Kluyveromyces lactis: one gene and its partners. The protein of the gene in region 2 purifies or fractionates together with the protein of the main gene of each other region. This does not show direct contact. Links are inferred from orthologs where the notes say so. Each region holds a gene or a part of one and is shown on either strand. Other genes may lie near its edges. The genes, in order: COX12, COR1, CYT1, TIM21, SHY1, QCR6 and COX6.

The links.
Region 1: the proteins of COR1 (region 2) and COX12 purify together in Saccharomyces cerevisiae (affinity purification with mass spectrometry, with the first as the bait; 3 studies listed by BioGRID). This does not show direct contact. The link is inferred for Kluyveromyces lactis from reciprocal best matches to the Saccharomyces cerevisiae genes COR1 and COX12.
Region 3: the proteins of COR1 (region 2) and CYT1 purify together in Saccharomyces cerevisiae (affinity purification with western blotting; 7 studies listed by BioGRID, with this or other methods). This does not show direct contact. The link is inferred for Kluyveromyces lactis from reciprocal best matches to the Saccharomyces cerevisiae genes COR1 and CYT1.
Region 4: the proteins of COR1 (region 2) and TIM21 purify together in Saccharomyces cerevisiae (affinity purification with western blotting; 3 studies listed by BioGRID, with this or other methods). This does not show direct contact. The link is inferred for Kluyveromyces lactis from reciprocal best matches to the Saccharomyces cerevisiae genes COR1 and TIM21.
Region 5: the proteins of COR1 (region 2) and SHY1 purify together in Saccharomyces cerevisiae (affinity purification with mass spectrometry; 4 studies listed by BioGRID, with this or other methods). This does not show direct contact. The link is inferred for Kluyveromyces lactis from reciprocal best matches to the Saccharomyces cerevisiae genes COR1 and SHY1.
Region 6: the proteins of COR1 (region 2) and QCR6 purify together in Saccharomyces cerevisiae (affinity purification with mass spectrometry; 4 studies listed by BioGRID, with this or other methods). This does not show direct contact. The link is inferred for Kluyveromyces lactis from reciprocal best matches to the Saccharomyces cerevisiae genes COR1 and QCR6.
Region 7: the proteins of COR1 (region 2) and COX6 purify together in Saccharomyces cerevisiae (affinity purification with mass spectrometry; 4 studies listed by BioGRID, with this or other methods). This does not show direct contact. The link is inferred for Kluyveromyces lactis from reciprocal best matches to the Saccharomyces cerevisiae genes COR1 and COX6.

Annotation. Positions count from the first base shown.
Region 1 is NC_006042.1:1,581,483-1,583,598, forward strand, and holds COX12 (cytochrome c oxidase subunit VIb), read left to right. Parts: upstream 1-1,367; coding exon 1,368-1,616; downstream 1,617-2,116. Other genes in the region: RIC1 (Ric1p), read left to right, coding at 1-629. UniProt on the Saccharomyces cerevisiae protein: Component of the cytochrome c oxidase, the last enzyme in the mitochondrial electron transport chain which drives oxidative phosphorylation.
Region 2 is NC_006041.1:507,834-510,995, forward strand, and holds COR1 (ubiquinol--cytochrome-c reductase subunit COR1), read left to right. Parts: upstream 1-1,324; coding exon 1,325-2,662; downstream 2,663-3,162. UniProt on the Saccharomyces cerevisiae protein: Component of the ubiquinol-cytochrome c oxidoreductase, a multisubunit transmembrane complex that is part of the mitochondrial electron transport chain which drives oxidative phosphorylation.
Region 3 is NC_006042.1:1,525,482-1,528,270, forward strand, and holds CYT1 (ubiquinol--cytochrome-c reductase catalytic subunit CYT1), read left to right. Parts: upstream 1-1,410; coding exon 1,411-2,289; downstream 2,290-2,789. Other genes in the region: YNG1 (Yng1p), read right to left, coding at 1-505. UniProt on the Saccharomyces cerevisiae protein: Component of the ubiquinol-cytochrome c oxidoreductase, a multisubunit transmembrane complex that is part of the mitochondrial electron transport chain which drives oxidative phosphorylation.
Region 4 is NC_006038.1:517,959-520,360, reverse strand, and holds TIM21 (Tim21p), read right to left. Parts: upstream 1,206-2,402; coding exon 501-1,205; downstream 1-500. Other genes in the region: GAS2 (1,3-beta-glucanosyltransferase), read left to right, coding at 1-228. UniProt on the Saccharomyces cerevisiae protein: Essential component of the TIM23 complex, a complex that mediates the translocation of transit peptide-containing proteins across the mitochondrial inner membrane. Required to keep the TOM and the TIM23 complexes in close contact.
Region 5 is NC_006038.1:1,000,815-1,003,604, forward strand, and holds SHY1 (cytochrome oxidase assembly protein SHY1), read right to left. Parts: upstream 1,614-2,790; coding exon 501-1,613; downstream 1-500. Other genes in the region: DAM1 (Dam1p), read right to left, coding at 1-17; MRPS5 (mitochondrial 37S ribosomal protein uS5m), read right to left, coding at 1,994-2,790. UniProt on the Saccharomyces cerevisiae protein: Required for efficient assembly of cytochrome c oxidase in the mitochondrial inner membrane. Involved in a step that couples MSS51-COX14-dependent regulation of COX1 translation to early steps of cytochrome c oxidase assembly.
Region 6 is NC_006040.1:1,355,556-1,357,802, reverse strand, and holds QCR6 (ubiquinol--cytochrome-c reductase subunit 6), read left to right. Parts: upstream 1-1,378; coding exon 1,379-1,747; downstream 1,748-2,247. Other genes in the region: phosphate-sensing transcription factor PHO4, read left to right, coding at 1-299. UniProt on the Saccharomyces cerevisiae protein: Component of the ubiquinol-cytochrome c oxidoreductase, a multisubunit transmembrane complex that is part of the mitochondrial electron transport chain which drives oxidative phosphorylation.
Region 7 is NC_006042.1:2,036,121-2,038,557, reverse strand, and holds COX6 (cytochrome c oxidase subunit VI), read left to right. Parts: upstream 1-1,493; coding exon 1,494-1,937; downstream 1,938-2,437. UniProt on the Saccharomyces cerevisiae protein: Component of the cytochrome c oxidase, the last enzyme in the mitochondrial electron transport chain which drives oxidative phosphorylation.

The DNA of each region.
Region 1 (2,116 bases), on a different chromosome or scaffold from region 2:
CCAGTAAAGTATTGGAACATGAGGACTTGAACTCCATATTATCATTAATCGATACCTATGATAAAAATTCAGGCGGGATTAAGAATGAAGTTGGTAAACTTGAAATCGTAGGGAATTGTTTAAGAAAGATCGAAACAAAACATTGGGACTACTTATTTGAGAATCTAAAACTAACTCCAAGAGATCTTATCACCAAGTGCATTGCTCTATCTGAAGCGAAGATCTTGGGTACGCTTTTGATGGTATTCTTAAACTATGACGAGGGCGATAGTGAATCTAAACAGGAAGAGGTCACGACAAAGTCCACAAAACGAAAGAACAAGAACAACAAGAACAAGAACAACAAAAACAAGAACAAGAACAAGAACAAGGAAAAGAGCCATACAAACGGACTCAAGGAATCTGATAGTAGAGAGACTTCTCCAGATACTAGTGTATCCACCATCCTAAAAGACGAAACAGTCATAGGTCAAGTCCTCAAGATATTCGTATCCACTGCCACTCTTTCAACTACAAAAGAGCAAGCACAAGAGTATTGGGATTTCGCTCTACAACTAATTCGATTCTTAAGAGCACTAGACAGTAAGGGAAATACTACACTAGCACAGACTTGTCTGGACATGATCTAATTAATACTGGGAAATACCTTTTTTCTAACCGCACTTGTCACGTGATACTCGGCCAATCACAAGGACTGCATCGTCAAAGACGATTACATTCAAACCCCATATAAAATATGTATGCTCACACTATTCAAATCAAACATCTCGTGCCATAATAAGAAGATGATGCGTTTTCTTGCTGAATGGAAAAGTGTTACCATCATATACTGCGATTTTTTCGCAATTAACCAGGTATTTTACAGTTACGCTTTTAATTGAACGAAGCATATGTACTCCTTTCTCTGGTACTACACAGCTGTATACTAGGGTAGATGTAATATTCAATTGACCCCTTTTACGCTGGATATATACTAGTAATATTACTATTAAAGTCTATGTCTGCGGAGTATCTGTTTGTGCTACCTCTTCTTAATGTTACGATATTTCATCTTTTTTTTTTTTTTCATTCCTAATGAAATTTTCGAATGATATTTTCATAGTTTTTCTTGAAGCCGAAAAAAAGATTTTGATTATTCTAACTTTCTATTTAGTTTAACTGATTAGTTTTTAGAATTAAAATAAAGAAGTTTAAGAACTATTCTTTTCAATTCTTGTTGTTATTTTTGTTTTGAGTTTTAGTTTTAGATTAGTTTGAGATTTGTTTGTTCATTCTTATTCAAAGATATTTTAGTTTTGTATTGATTTTGTTCAGGTTAATTAAGATCACTCTTTGTTCAAACATCATCACCGATAAACCCTATTACAATGGCTGAAAATCAAGAATCTCCATTACACACCGTTGGTTTCGACGCTAGATTCCCAAACCAAAACCAAACAAAGCACTGCTGGCAATCGTACGTGGATTACCACAAGTGTATCAATGCTAAGGGTGAAGACTTCGCTCCATGCAAGGTTTTCTGGAAGACCTACTCCTCTCTATGTCCAGTTGACTGGGTTGAAAAGTGGGATGAACAAAGATCCCAGGGTATCTTTGCTGGTGACATTAACCCATAAACTGGTTGGAAATATGTGATATAATGCGATGAAAAAAGAGGCAGTTAATTAGTGAAGAACTAGTTTAGGAAAACTAAAAACAAAAAAAGATGATATTCATTTGGAGCAAGATGTGACAACAGATACTGAAATTATCTGTTATGATTCGTACTTAACGTATCTTCCTCTTTTATTATTTTCATTCACTTTCCTCGAACAATGGCTTCACTGTTTTCTGTCCCATCGATTTTTCATTCATTTTCTTTTTAAAACAATATATTTATTATCCCATTCACATCCGTCCTCCGTTTCCCCTTTCGATGTTATTGTCACTTTGTAACGTTTTCCACTCAATATAAGTTTCAGCGTCTTGGATCATCATTCCAGACCTTAGTGTGGAAATTAAGTAACATTGATGGAGATCCGGAAATCCCAGTACAAGTTTCACTTTTATTAAAACAATACTCTCATAAAAAAAATTTACAAAGAAAGATCAATTTAGAACACAGTTTAAACTTTGT
Region 2 (3,162 bases):
TTTCAAAACTGGCGGCAAGAACAACAACCGTTCCGGACGGGGATTACATGGGAGTTAAGATATTTGGATCCTGATGGACCGACCATTTTTCAGCGCATTTTGCTTTGCGGGAATAAGCTCCCTTCTAAATTTCTTAGAAACCTTGCTTGAAGAAGTCGTAAATACATGCAGGGATAGTTGGCGAATGAAATGATGATTTTATTTCCGAAGAGTAAATCCGAATGGATATTCGTTGCGGTGTTTTCAAGGCGAGAATCGAACACTTACACTGTACGCACAAACCACCAGCAAGCAAGCAAGTAATCAAAAAAAAAAAAAGTACTCATTTGGACTTTGGTACTTACCCGAATCTTTCTATTGTGCGGGTAAGTGTAATTTTATTCACGTGAGTCGAATTTCAATCTCGGTATTTGATCATCTTTGACGAACCAATGGAAATCCAGTTCGGGCATCGTATTTCACGGTTCATTTTTCATTCAAAGTTTACCGCTTACCATAGGAAATCGAGCATTTCCACTGTTTATTATGGGAAAAGAAATGCTGGTACCGATACTTCCGTAACTGCGAGATGAGCGAGAAAGAGGGATATGCAATCCCAAAAATGTCGATTTGATTGGAAATGTTCGAGCAGATGGAATTAGCAGTTTTGGGGCTAAATTCTCGTCCCGAAAAGTACTCGCTACTATGTAAATTTTTGTTTTTCGGACCAGTTTCTCGGCCAGAAACGATTTTAATAATTGTTCAAAGGGGGTCCCCTATTAATTATGTGGACAGGTCGTTGTCCAATGAAAGAAAATCTCTATGCTACAGAGAAGACAAAGAAGAAGAGGTAAAAAAAAAAAATTATGGAAATATCGAAAAACTAGACAGCGCTCTCAGTATCAACATTTTTCACTTTTTTCATATAGTGTAACCTTCCAAAATTAAAAAAAAATTAAAAGTAGTTAGATAAATCATTGATATTTGTTTAATGAAAGTACACTAACTTTATTTAGACCTGTTTATAGTTTTCTACTCTTGTATATTGCTTCAGTCAAGTGTGCACAATTTTAAGGAAATTGAGAATTCAGTTAGGCTAAAAACTATCCAAACTTTGCTTTATATTTTTTTCAGTGAAATACCACTATACTGTTTTTTGAATCGATAGTATACCAACAGAAAGGTTTCCAAGGAAAAAAGTAAACGAGAATTATAACTTCGAAGGTATTACATTTGGGAGCTCATTGACTTGTTTTTGATCCCGTATTCTATTTATTTTGCACGTACAAATTCAACACACTATATTGATTAAACGGATTATAACCAATTATTTGCCATAAGAAAGATGTTGAGAACCGCTACTAGATCTTCAATCTTGAAGAGAACCATTGCCACTCAAATTACCCCAAAAGCCATCGTCACCGAACTATCTAACGGTGTTGTTGTTGCTACTGAACCAAACAGCAACTCTGCCACTGCTGCGGTCGGTTTGGTGTTCGGTTCCGGTACTACTGCCGAAAACCCATACAACAACGGTGTTTCCAACTTGTTGGCTAACTCCTTTGTCAACTCTTCTATCAAGGATGCTCAAAAATTGGGATTCTCCTTAGAAACCAAGGTTGGCAGAGACCACCAATCTTACATTGTTAACTCTCAACCAGGTCAATATGCTAAGGCTCTAGAATTCTTGCAATCCAAGCTTTTCGCTCCAATTGAGGACTCCGTCTTCGAAAGTTCCAAGAGAGCTACTGTAGACACTGTTGCCAAGTTCGAAGAAACTGAACACGAACAACGTGTTTTCGAACACTTGCACGCCACTGCTTTCCAAAACACTCCATTGTCTTTGCCAGTCAGAGGTACTGTCGAAACTCTAGAAGGTTTGGAAAACATCGACTTGTCCAACTTCGTTCAAAACCAATTCAAGGCAAACAACTCTGTTATTGTTGGTACCGGTAACGTTAACCACGATGAATTGGTCAAGGCTGTTGAAACTAAGCTTTCTTTGCTATCTGGTGACAAACCAGTGCCAAAGAAGAAGTCCACTTTCTTGGGTTCTGAAGTCAGACTAAGAGATGATACTCTACCAAAGGCTTGGGTATCTATCGCTGCTGAAGGTGAACCTATCAATTCTCCACAATACTATGTTGCTCAAGTCGCTGCTGAAGTCTTCGGTACTTTCGTTGCTGCTGAACCAGCTTCCAACCTACAAGGTGTTAAGTTGATCGACGAAGTTAACGAATACCACTTGTGTGACTCTTTCGAACACTTCTCTGTCTCTTATAAGGACTCCGGTTTGTGGGGTTTCAGAACCACCATCACCGACCCACACAACATCGATGAAACTGTCCATTTCACTTTGAAGCAATGGAACAGATTGTCCATCTCTGTCACCGAAACTGAAGTCGCTCGTGCTAAGTCTTTGTTAAAGTTGAAGTTGGCTTCTCAAGTTTCTACCAACGCTGCTGCTGCTAACTTGTTGGGTGCTCAAACCTTGGTTTTGGGTGCTAAGCCAGCCTTGGCTGAAGTCTTCACTAAGATTGACAAAATTACCTCCAAGGATATTAAGGCTTGGGCTTCCGAAAGATTATGGGATCAAGATATCGCTGTTGCCGGTACTGGTAAGATTGAAGACTTGTTGGACTACGTCAGAATGAGAAACGACATGAGTATGATGAGATGGTAATCAAACTAAAAGCCGAGTCTTAAGATATTTTAACAATTCTTTTTATATTATATTCTCATTTCACGACGGTCATTCTAAAAACAATTCTCTCTTTTCTACTCGACTGAGTAGAATTACTCCCTGTAACATTTACTTTTGAGTTGTTATAACCATATCACTCGATGAGTAATAAGTTACAGTTTAATTTCATGTGTGTATATTCCCCCAAAAAAAGAAATTTGTCACGATCGATTTATATCAATATTTTACTGTTTTGGACTAAAGTCTAGGGTGTTTACTGGCGCATTCGATTTTTCGCTCTGTCACAGCTCCTCAAGATCAATACATTTAATGAACATAATGTATTTTTTAATTCCAAATGATATTTGAAAATTTAGGCTAAATCGAAATAAATCAAAATCTCGCTCATTATTCGTCGAAACAAAAATATGAGTTCAATGTCCTTATTTATGATACTGTCATTTACTGGTGAGCAATTGAATACATTTTAACCATCAAGA
Region 3 (2,789 bases), on a different chromosome or scaffold from region 2:
CATACGACACATCTCTACAGAAACAGTACGTCTCTGTCTCTGGCTTGTGCGTCTTATCATGATTCACATGTTCTTGCTGAATCAGTTTCTGTTCCCTTTCTGCCTCTGGGTACCTTGATTTCATAGTGATCTTAATCTTGATCGGTTTGTGATGAGGCAAAGGTTTCAATTTCGGTTGTTTCTTCAAGTGACTATCGTACCTTGCCTTAATCTGAGAGAATCGCTCCAATTCTTGTTTTTCAAAATTGAGCCGTGAATGTTCTTGCCGTACTAACTCTAAGAGATGTTGCGCTTGTCGCAGCATCTCTTCTGAATGACATCCATCTCTATTAGTATCACCTATATCCAATGATTGTATAGTCCAGAGGGTGCGAATCACATCGCATGGTAAATGGTCCAGTGTACTGAGAAACCCGTACCTAACATCTTCCATTGTTCTTGAGCTGTTTCCTTCTAGCCGATTAACTAAGACCAGAATGGTCAATTCTATTCTAGGCGTTAGCATGTACTTACTCTTTCTTGAATGGCTTTTGCCATATGGATATGAATGGAAAGACGTTTTACGTTTTCCCAGAAGGAAAACATTCACGTGACAAGTCCCAGTCACGTGAATGACATTGATGTTTTTGGGATATGGAGTTCTGACCAATCACATCGAAGAACGTGCCGTCTTCTCATAAACCTCCGCACATATGGATATTTTCCCGTACTTAGTGACTTTTCGTCGGGAATATCGCCCTTAACACGCATCCTCCAGTGCGCTTAGGATAGAAAACCTTCAGAAAAACATCGCTTTCGAAAAATAAAAAAAAATACTTTAAACATAATCAATCACAAACAATTATCATTGGATTGGACAGAAAACTTAGCAGAGAAATGCTCACAGACAGCGAAAGGGAAAAAAAAAAACGGCTTGAAAATTTTGGGAATCGATTTTTTCTCTATGTAAAAAGCGATATAATGAAAAATATCTACAAAAATATAGTATATAATTCTTTTCAAACTAGAGAAAACTTTTTGGAAACGATATACATAGATTATTTATATATACGTTTAGTTGGTTATAGTATTAACCAGGGATTTAGTTTGCGCTGATCGATCAATCAATTCAACGGATTTGATTTAATATTTATTTTTGAAAAGAACGGAATAAAAGAAGCCTGCGTCTTTTAAATTTTTGTCCTTTACCTAACTGTCTATTTGTTCGTCTTTCTGGTACAGATATTAAGAAAAGAATAATAATACATTCTCAGGATATTATCCATTGTCTGTGTGATACGAATATAAATTCAAGAATATCAGCTTTGATTCATACAAATAGTTGTTAGAATATCAAAATTCGGGACATTTTTATCTTTTAGAAGAGAATTCAATTAATAGGAAACTAAAGTGATATCATAATAATAAACGATGTTCAGATCATTTTCTACTGCCGCTAAACAGGCCGTAAAAGGTACTTATGTTCAAAGAGCCATTGTTGGTGGTGCTGCTGTTGTCGGTATTGGTGCTTCAACAATGTTGTATGCTGATTCCTTGACTGCTGACGCTATGACAGCTGCTGAGCATGGTTTGCATGCCCCAGGTTACGGTTGGTCTCACAACGGTCCATTGGAAACTTTCGACCATTCTTCTATCAGACGTGGTTACCAAGTTTACCGTGAAGTTTGTGCTGCATGCCATTCTTTGGACCGTGTTGCATGGAGAACCATGGTTGGTGTTTCTCACACTAACGCCGAAGTCAGAGCCATGGCTGAAGAGTTCGAATACGATGACGAACCAGATGACCAAGGTAACCCAAAGAAGAGACCTGGTAAATTGGCTGATTATGTCCCAGGTCCATATCCAAACGAACAAGCTGCTAGAGCCGCTAACCAAGGTGCTCTACCTCCAGATTTGTCCTTGATCGTCAAGGCCAGACACGGTGGTCCAGATTATATCTTTGCTTTGTTAACTGGTTACCCAGAAGAACCACCAGCCGGTGTTGTCTTGCCTCCAGGTGCCAACTACAACCCATACTTCCCAGGTGGTTCCATTGCGATGGGTAGAGTCTTGTTCGACGATTTGGTCGAATACGAAGACGGTACCCCAGCCACTACTTCTCAAATGGCTAAGGATGTTACCACTTTCTTGCACTGGTGTTCTGAACCAGAACACGATGAAAGAAAGAGATTGGGTCTAAAGGCTATGATCGTATTGTCCTCTCTATACTTGTTGTCCGTCTGGGTCAAGAAGTTCAAGTGGGCTTCTATCAAGTCTAGAAAGATTGTCTTCAACCCACCAAAGAAATGAGTTTTTTTGAATATTAATGTCGAAACGAATAAAGACTAATTCATATCAACTCTTTCTATTTTATTCTCTCAACTCTCTACTTCTGTTTCTCCCCATTTCCGGAGAAACTTGCAAGGTCTCTTCTTTTTTGCTACTTGATTGATCAGTATTTGATTGTTGGTAATCAAATGTGATCTTAATCATTTAGATCAGAGATACATCAAATATATTCATCTTTCCACCCATACATCCCACACCGTCTGACACATAAAAAAGGATTCTAACAAAACAAAATGGCTTGACCATCAACCATGCTTAAAAACATCTTATAAAGAGGGAAAAGGAAGCTCGATTATCAAGAATGAAACGGTGAGGATTTAAATGAAAACTTTTTTTACGAACAACCCCTCTCTTTATTCTCATCTTCTGAGAATATGGTACTTCGGGGGAACAAATAGTGTTTTTTTCTTACGAATTAGAAAGAATTGAACCTCCTCCTTTGTACGTCATAATACTACTTT
Region 4 (2,402 bases), on a different chromosome or scaffold from region 2:
GGAAGTACGTGTCCGTTAGCCAATGAGGACATTTATTTTAACTTCAAAAGCTACAATACAAAAACCCAGTGTCAAGCCTTAATCAAATCGGTTCAAGATTCTGTTAACACAAAAAAATCAATTAAAGTTCCAACCAATGATCAAGATATCAGTAATCTTGGTAATTCGCAAAAAATATGTTCCATCCTGCTTCTTTTGACAGCTATGACATACACGTTCTTTTTATAAATAAATCAAATGCACTTTGTTTAGATAGACATGAAATAAGTTCTTCGTTTACTATTTTTTGGCGGAGCAGCATGGCAACCCCGCATCTTGTTTAAGTTTTCTTAAAGTACCATATTAACAGTCAATATTGCACTGAGGAGAATAGGCGTCAATTGTTTCATTAGAATTATGGAATATATATATGGCGGGTGAACAACAAAATAAAAGAATGCAAAAGTGTTCGTATCAAAAATGAAAGGATTTGATATACCATTGGTGTGATTCATTACAGTTTAGTCTCTTTTGGGGCCCCAATTAACTCCCAAGAATCCTTTTGGTTTGACAATGGAAAGTTTGGGCTTAATCAAATAATGACGTTTTTCTCCAGGAATATCAAGGTACATTGAAACGAAATCAGGTTGGTAATTTACATCGGATTCTTTGGCTTCCACATGAACGATCCCCATTTTCTGCTTGGATTCTACATGGAACCTCATGAGATAATGTTCCTTGCCCTCCTTGTCAATTCTTCTTGTCGATGAGATTGGTCTATTTCTTGTCCAACGATCATCAGTTAAAATTTCTCCGTACGCTTTTAATCTCTCTGTAGACGTTTCCGTATCGTTGCATTTCAATAATCTTCTGGCGACTTCATCATTTTCTACTTTGCTAACGGCACGATTGAAGATTTGAGTATCCCCCGAAGGAGAGAATAGCTCTGCTCCAATCAAATAGATGACAACTCCAGCTAAACCAGTGGCCCCGATGACCAGTATTCCGGAAAAGGTAAAAGTCGTAAAAGCCCTAATTCGCGGCCATAGTGGTATCTTCTTTTTTTGTTGCTTGTTGCCTGCATTCTGTTGAGCATTGAACGTAGAATATCCTTGAACTGTATGTTTTATTCTGACTGGAGATGCAATTAAAGGCAAACAGAGTGTCTTGGATGAGAATTTTCCACTCAAAGACTGGGCTGGACGTGATATGAACTGACAGAACATTATTGCCTTTGTTAGCAGCCCTCTGACTCAATGTCTTCTGTTGACGAAAGAATCTCTTTTGCCTTATTACACTACTTATGTTTTAAGAAGTTTTGAGTTTTTAGCCTAAGAATTTAATTCTCTAAATTTGACAAGGACGGTGTTTCCTTTGGAATACTATATACCGGAGTAAGGACAGAGGGAATTAACATAAGACGAAATTCGTAAGAATTGCATGAACCTGTAGGTGTCACCGAGACCTAAATTGTTTAATCTATTGCTGCGGAGATATCGCCTCAGTTCAACAGGTCGTCATAACATCCTCAGGGTAAATGGGATCATTCCCTTAAATGAACATATTCAGATGTTTATGTAAATAGCTGTAGGAAGACGTTTTGGTGGCTACATCTTGAGCCACAGATATTGGGTAGATTTGCAATAAATTTATACTTATGTGGAAGAAGGTGAATGAATTGGTGCAGAAAGAGTGATAATGGCTACGTTTTATTGAATTTAAGTACAGTAGGTGTTTCGAAATTGATGATAACTATCAACTCTGGTAATGGAAAATGGTGATCGGTCTTAAAAGTGCAGGTAAAACAAAACAACGGGAGAAATGTTGTTATTACGGATAATGGTAGAAGCAAGTTAATGGCATGCAAACAGGAAACCGTTTATTTTACATAAATATACTATTTGAAATTAATCAATCCTCATGGTATACAGAGTTAGTGAACAAAAGCAAATAAGTGCTTTTTACAGCCCCTTTAGTGCAATGGTTAGCATACATTTTTCCGGTGGATGTGATCCGGGTTCGAGTCCCGGGAGGGGCTCCTCTGATTTTTGTTCAAAATTTGAATTCATACTACGTGCCGATTCATTCAAATTCCTTTATAATACTTGAACCATCAATGGTGTTCAGGCCCAATGCCTACATTTTTTTTTGTACAAACTCAACCAATGGAGGCTAATATTTATTAGCAATTGTTAACAACTACTATATACTGCTGTTCTTTCCTTCAAATTGTATGATCAGAGAATCTCTTTGGGTAGGAATTTCAATATGAGGCTCCATCCTGTGACTGTTTGCATCCGTACATCTCGAATTTATATATGTTTTTCAGAAAATGAAAAAATCGAAATTTATACTTCCTACATAGGAACTCTATCATGAAAACCTTATATCTTAGGCTTACTAGTGAGCCCTGCCTGGCCGCC
Region 5 (2,790 bases), on a different chromosome or scaffold from region 2:
TTTGGCCTTTGAGACATATCTTATGAGCAGATGAATCCAGCAGTTTTATGTTGAGTTTGGAATAGTGCCAAGTAGCCCTGAGAATTTAAGATGAAAGGTCAAAAAAAAAAAAAACAAGTAATGAATTTACCTCAGACTGTCTATGAGATGTCAAATTAGATACCAGGTTGCCCAAAGAGACACTATCGCATTCCGTCTGTCTGCTTGGAGACACCTTACTGTTCGTGTTTTTGTTTTGCTTTACTTTATTTACGTTTTCGATTTTCGATGTACAAGTATTTCAACGATAGTTAGTTAGTATTCATCAACAGGAATGAAAATCATTCAAAATAGCTATAATAGTATTTACAGGTACAAACAAGGTTGATACTACTATGTGTTTAGTAATTAACTGCTTGAATATAATTTATTGGAATTTGAGTATCTCGAATACTAGAAAATTGAAGGAAATGATGGGATCGAGATAGAAATTCCTGAGAATATCAATATGTGTTTCTTTATCACATGAACTTCTTGGCATGTTTTAGCTTTTGCCTCTTTATTTCATCCTGTGACATAGCGGAACCACGACCACGTCTTAGTGCAATGATAAGGAAGATAGATGAAAGCAGAGATAACCCATACCAAGTAATTAAATATTGTAAATGATTATTCTTCAAATCAATCTTTGGTGCTTTACCAATAGGCACTCCCGCTTTAACGAATTGGAACTCGTTAAATTCCAATCCTGTCTCCGAATCTGCTGTATTTACTTTCTTCGTGTTGACGTGTGGTTTCTCGGATTCTTCTTGTTGTGGTTCTGTTTCGGTTTTCTTTTTAGACCAGAATTTCCAAGATGATTGGTTTTTGTTATCGATACCCTCAGATTTTGATTCTTCATCCCAATGGTGATCTTTCAGATCGTAAAGAGCTTGGTAATGAATAGGAGAAGTATGTGTCATCTCTGTCATATCCTTAATATCCAAGACTTGCCACAATCTACTCTCCCTGTCTTCCTTCTTCCATTGCATTGATGTCAAATCTTTAGCTGCACGCACTAACACTGTAATTGTCACGTTATCGCCTTGAGGTAAAGACAAATGTTGCAAGTTACGAGATGATGGAACGATTTTCTCCTCCGAGATCCAACCACGTTCAATCAAAATTCTTTCTCCCGTATCCTTTCTGATGAAAGGCGTATATAAAACGTACCCCTTGATCCCTCCTCTAACACGGGGGCCGACAAAAATCTCTTCATCATGCAAGAATCTACCGGTCATAGTACACTTGCGGTATTCCCAGTCTTCGCACATATCCGGTGTAAACGTTTTAGGTAACGGAATAGGATCGTAGGTTAATTTGTCTTCGCAGGAAGCAATTAGATTGGTTTTCCATTTCAATCTTCTTAATTGCCAGGTTCCTAAGTAGAACGAGATCACGGGCATGGCAATCATCAGTCCTAGAAAAATACGCTTACCCCATCGTGATTCCTTCTTTTGAAATCCTTCAGTAGGTGTCTTCTTTGTTTTGATAGGTTTCCAGTCAACAGTCGATGTCCTGACCGTGCTATAAAGTCGTCTTACCGGCCTTACCTTTGGTACAGTGAATGGCCTAGCCACAATGAAGCGAAACATATGCTTTGCTAATTGTGTGATACTAGTAGCTTCCGCTAAGAATTGAAATGCGTTTGAACAATTAGTAACAGCAAAGAAGTTAAAGCTTTTCTAATCATGTTTATACGCGATTAGATATACTACTCATCTGCTTTCATCATCTTCATTTTCCAATCTTTTAAAGATCAGAAAAGTGTGAAATATTCTAAAAGTCACGTGAAGAAGAATTTGGAACTCCGACGTTGTGGGGATATTAATATGTACAAGGTTACGTAGATCTGAGTATTGATTGTTTTATGAGAATGATCATCTAGGTCGTAATTGAATCATGTGAAGGTTGTTCAGATAGTTTCTTCATAGGAGAAAAAGTGAAAGTAATTTAAATATGGAGTTGGTTGAAATCAAGCAGAGTAATATACCTTCTTGACATCCACAATTTTCTTACCTCTACCTAGAGCAATTTCATCTATAGATTTTTGAGACTTGGTGATAGCGTCTATAGTACCCTTGGCTATGTTCATGATATTTCTACTCTTGTAAACTTTTGCACTTAAATCTTTGATACCAGCACATTCACAAATTTCATAAATTACGTGATTGACTCTTAGACCGAAACCTGGCTTAGCAGCTCTCAAGAATAGTTTCACACCGTGGTATCTATAGTCTATGTCTTCAAAAATAGTTCTTTTTTCAAATCTAGGCACTTCTTTTAAGTTCCTCACTGCATCCCAATGAGCTTTCTTGATGGATTCTGCCATATCTTCACGGGATTTACCCTCACCGATTCCTACCATACCATTCTTATCACCAACAACCACAAGAGAATAGAAGGATGGAATTTTACCTTTTGCAGTTTGATTAGAAACCATCTTTAAGATCAATGGTTTCATCACTAGTTTTCTGGCGATATGTTGAGCATCGAACCCCGTCTGTAGTTGGATATTATTGGCAATGTTTTGTATATCTGATCTGCCTTCAGTTTGTAAGTATGAACCCACAGGAGGAGTCAAATCTGGATGCTTTTCCATCTCTTGAACGAATACCGAAGATGAGCTTGAATGTAGATGTGGAGAGTTTGGTTTATAATCCCAATAAGGATGTAATGTGGCAAAGTTATCCAAATATGGTGGTGAGAATTCAACATTTGTCTGTGGTTTGAACTCTACATTGTCAGGAATTACTTTATCAGCTAAGGAAA
Region 6 (2,247 bases), on a different chromosome or scaffold from region 2:
GATCTTCTCAGAAACCTAAATCCTCTAGTGAGGATGACGAAAATGACGCTGACGCTGACCGTGAAAACGAACGTGACGAAGAAGACGATGATGATGACGACGTGGTAAAGAAGCAAAAGCAAGTGCATAAAGTAGCAGAACAAGGAAGAAGAAACAGATTGAACAATGCATTGAAGGATCTTGAGTCCTTGATTCCAAAGGAACTCAAAGACGTGGCGGCAATCCCATCCAAAGCTACCACAGTCGAGCTGGCTGCCCAGTATATCCGTCAATTGTTGAAGGCAAACTCCAACCAGTGAGTACAGACATCTTTCTCTCTCTGTGCCTGTATAAATGTATCTATAGTGTTTCTTACCCTTAAACCACGTGATATGATATTTTCAGTTGCTTTACATCATAGATAATTATGTATCACGTGCAAATAAAATGTCATCCATCACTATCGACGAACCAATCACAATCTACCGTCGTGTGTGACACAGATCGCCTTTAATAGCTATTCCTTCCGAAAAAAGCCAGACTCAGTGCGGGAGCCTCTAGCGGCTCCCCTATGCCCACAGCGGCTGTTGGTTCTCTCAACAAGTAAGATTTCAAGAGGAAAGAGCCTGTTTATTCGTCGTACAATGTGATGACCGATACAATGTCGCAACTGAAACGGCAGTACAAAGGCTGGATAACATAAACATTTCCAGCATCGATTATTTCATTGGCCGGCCAATTTGGGCAGGGAAATAGTCCGTTCCTGCGACTCCAGCAATTGACTAAGGTGCCAAACAAGCACCAAAACCGCTCAGAATCAAACCCTATCCAAGCTCTCTTAATTCGTGTGCAGTTTAAACCTTGAATTTTATCGGTTATCTATATGTAGAGTTTCCGTTATATGCTTCCACATTGATACGTTGATTTCTGCGTAATTTTTTTTTTTGACCTTCGATATTTTTTTTTTTAGTTTAAAGTATGAAAAATTTCATATTTCGATTTTAATTATAATATATCTATCAATCAATCGATATAATATTCAGTTCACATTACTTCGGTTATATCATATTTTTGTTAGGTTAGCTCCAATTCATAAGTTGTTTAACTAGGTTTTATAAGTTTTCTTTTCGGTTCAATACGGTATCAAGTAACTAATACGTCGGGTATTTGGTTTTATTCTATTACATCCAGTTTTGATTTTATTTTATTTTATTTTGTTTGATATACACAGAATAAAATATTCATAAGAACAATAATACAACCAATACATTCACAAACTTTGGGCTTTATTCATATTTATTCGTTGTATTTTGATTTTACTCGATACTAGAATTTCCCTGTCCTTTTTGAAACTATCAATTTTAAATTAACATACACACACATATTATAAGAGAACAGAATGATTTCCTCTATTACTGCTTACTTGGAAGAATTAAAGGATGCTTTCGTGCCAACTGTGGCCAAGGCTGAAGACGACGTTGAAGAAGATGAAGAAGAGGAAGAAGATGACGAAGATGAAGACGATGAAGATGAAGAAGAAGAACAAGGTGATCAATTAGATGCTTTGAGAGAAGAATGTAAATCTACCGAAGAAGGTAAGCACTTGGTTCATCATTATCTGGAATGTGTCGAAAGAGTTCAAAAGGCACAAGAAGAACCAGGCTATGAAGATTTGGCATACAAGGAGGACTGTGTGGAAGAATTCTTCCACTTGGCACATTTCGTGGATGAATGCGCTGCTCCAAAACTGTTCGATTACTTGAAATAAAAGAGATATCCCATTTCATCAATATAAATGCAAATGGAAAAGGAGAGTTCATATTCTACTTTTTTCTAACCTTTATTTCAGTCCTGTTCAAAAAATCAACCGTTATACTTAACACATATTTCAACATTCAATCTCTAAAAGAATTTAAAAGCGAAAAAGATGTTTCAGCTTATCGTAATCACCTAAGGTTCCCCCTTGCAATTTGAGGAAATAAGTAGAGTTTTCTTTTCAATTCCAAACAACCACACAATCCATCCCATACTATTATGAATTATTGACTTAGAAACACAATAAACTTAAAATTTAAAAATAAGAAACAAAAAAGTGAAGGAATCACAGATCGAAGGGTATCTGGAATCAATTTGAAGAACTGTACCAAAAAAATTCAGAAGAAGAGACTACTCCACTACCATTATTTTATTATTATTATTATTATTATTACTACTAGATTCGGTTTTCTTCCTCTTTTTTCTCAAAAGAATTAAGAAAATAACCTTTCT
Region 7 (2,437 bases), on a different chromosome or scaffold from region 2:
GGCTGAATCGAATTCACAAGCTGGATTTCCACACGCTGGCGCTGACACTGTGATGAATCACCTTAAAGTTCCCCCTGCCCAGACATTATTTCTAGTGTCTCCGCCAGCGTCACCTCCTCCGGGATTTGATTACTCTAGGCTTGAAGAATGGCCTAATCGTAACACGGGACATGAAGAGGCTGGTGCAGGTATCGACGATGATTCAAAACCTGCTGTTCGAAAAGTGTTTGACAATGGACATACCCGAATAATAGTTGAGGGGTCTACAAACTCTGAACCAAACCATACGGCTTTGATGCAACATATCAAGACCGCGATGCCACCTATCTCAACGTTTGACGATATAGAGGATTAACTATCGCGTTTAGAGACATAATAACCCGCAGTTTTCTGCGGAGATGAGGGATCGAACAGGGGAACCTGCCTACCGAGAAAAAAAAAACCTTTGAAACCACGCGACTTCCGGGTAATTGTATTTGTATTGAAGTCACGTTCTCCCGCTGTCCTATTACCCGACTATGTGGTAAAAATCATCGGTGACGAACCAATCATATGCCAATACGTTCTCCTTCCCCACAAACAAGACACCCTACAGAACGGTCGGACCAGTCTCAATCAATGCCCATTACCCCCCAGCATATTTCACGAATGTGTTTTATTGGATTCTATAGATACTGCTTGTGGGGTTTATTATCACGGACTTATTATCTTGTTTTATAGGACATTATTTCGAAGATTATGAGAGTTAAGGTTTCATTTCCTTTGAACATGAGATCTTTAATCTGACATCGCTCGACTGAAAAATGACAGGCAGCAGAAAGTCAAGAAATACTCAATTCAAATAATTAAAATCGAACTAGATAAACGACTTGCTCGTAAGTACCACATGTAGGATTTTTTGGAGTGTGAACTTTTGTTGCAACTCTGCCGATGAATTATGTTAGCCCTCTTTTTTTCTTCCATCCATTTTCCATAGACACACTATTTAAAAAACTGATAATACCACTTTTTTGTAAACTACTAAGAAGATGATGCATACAAAGAATAAGATACAATAAAAGTTGTTTCGAATGGAACGACTCACTCGAGGTTCAAATTTGTGCTATTCGTTTCGCAAGTTATTACTCTTACTTTCCTTTTAACAATCTCGTTTTTATCTAGTTCAAAGACGTAGCTATCCACTAGTTTAAGTATTTGAACTGTTTGTTGATATTTGTCCTATGCGATTTTAAGTATTTAATTTTTTTTTTTTCATTCTTCATTACTTCAAATTTTTAAAAAAACTCCAGAGAAAATTATCGGTCGATTTACCTTTTACCTAACCTATTTGATATATCTTTAAAGCGTTTTACATTAAGTTTTAATTACAATAGAACTCGACTTTGAATCTTTTGTGAATACGGTTTGTTATAATTCCTTTTAGAATAGCTATTTGATCATCTTAATACAGTGAATCAAATCCAAATCCCGAATCAACCAATACAAAGAAAAATATGTTGTCCAGAACTTTGTTGAGAGCTGCTATGCCAGTAAGAGCCGTTGCTCCGGTTATGATGAGAGCTGCTGTTGCCCCAAGAGTTGGTCAATTACAATCTCAATTTGTTTCTATCAGAAAGTACTCCGATGCACACGAAGAAGAAACCTTTGAAGAATTCACCGCCAGATACGAAAAGGAATTCGAAGAGGCTTACGATTTATTCGAAGTCCAAAGAGTGTTGAATAACTGTTTCTCTTACGATTTGGTTCCAGCCCCAGCTGTTATCGAAAAGGCCTTGAGAGCCGCCAGAAAGGTTAACGACTTGCCAACTGCTGTCAGAGTGTTCGAAGCCTTGAGATACAAAGTTGAAAACGAAGATCAATACAAGGCTTACTTGGATGAATTGAAGGATGTTAGAGAAGAATTGGGAATTCCTTTGAAGGAGGAATTGTTCCAATAAGTGCATATAGAAGAACATTTAATCTAAAGTCACCGGCTTTATCATCTTCTCCCATACTATTTTCACTTTTTGAGAACCTTTCACTAGGAAGGAAAGAACAATACTTATCCACAACACCAACAACCAAATGAAACCAAAATAAATATCATCAAAAACTATATTTACGAACGTGTCCCATCCTATGACACCATATATTCTTGTCACACATTTGTTTGTTTGAGGAGGTTTTTTTGGTGCTGACTACTGGTAGTAGCAGATACGAAGACATTATTTATTTGCCAGGACATATACAGAACCGTGAATACAAACCTTCAAGAAACATTTACAAACAATTCAAATAAAATCAAGATTATTATTATTATTATTATTATCATCATCATCACAATTATTATAATTATATATATGTTATACTGACTAAATTATAAGGAAAAGTAGTTATATATCAAACAAACAGCTATTAACATACGCGTTTAGTCTATTTAGCGGTAGACAGAAAAATG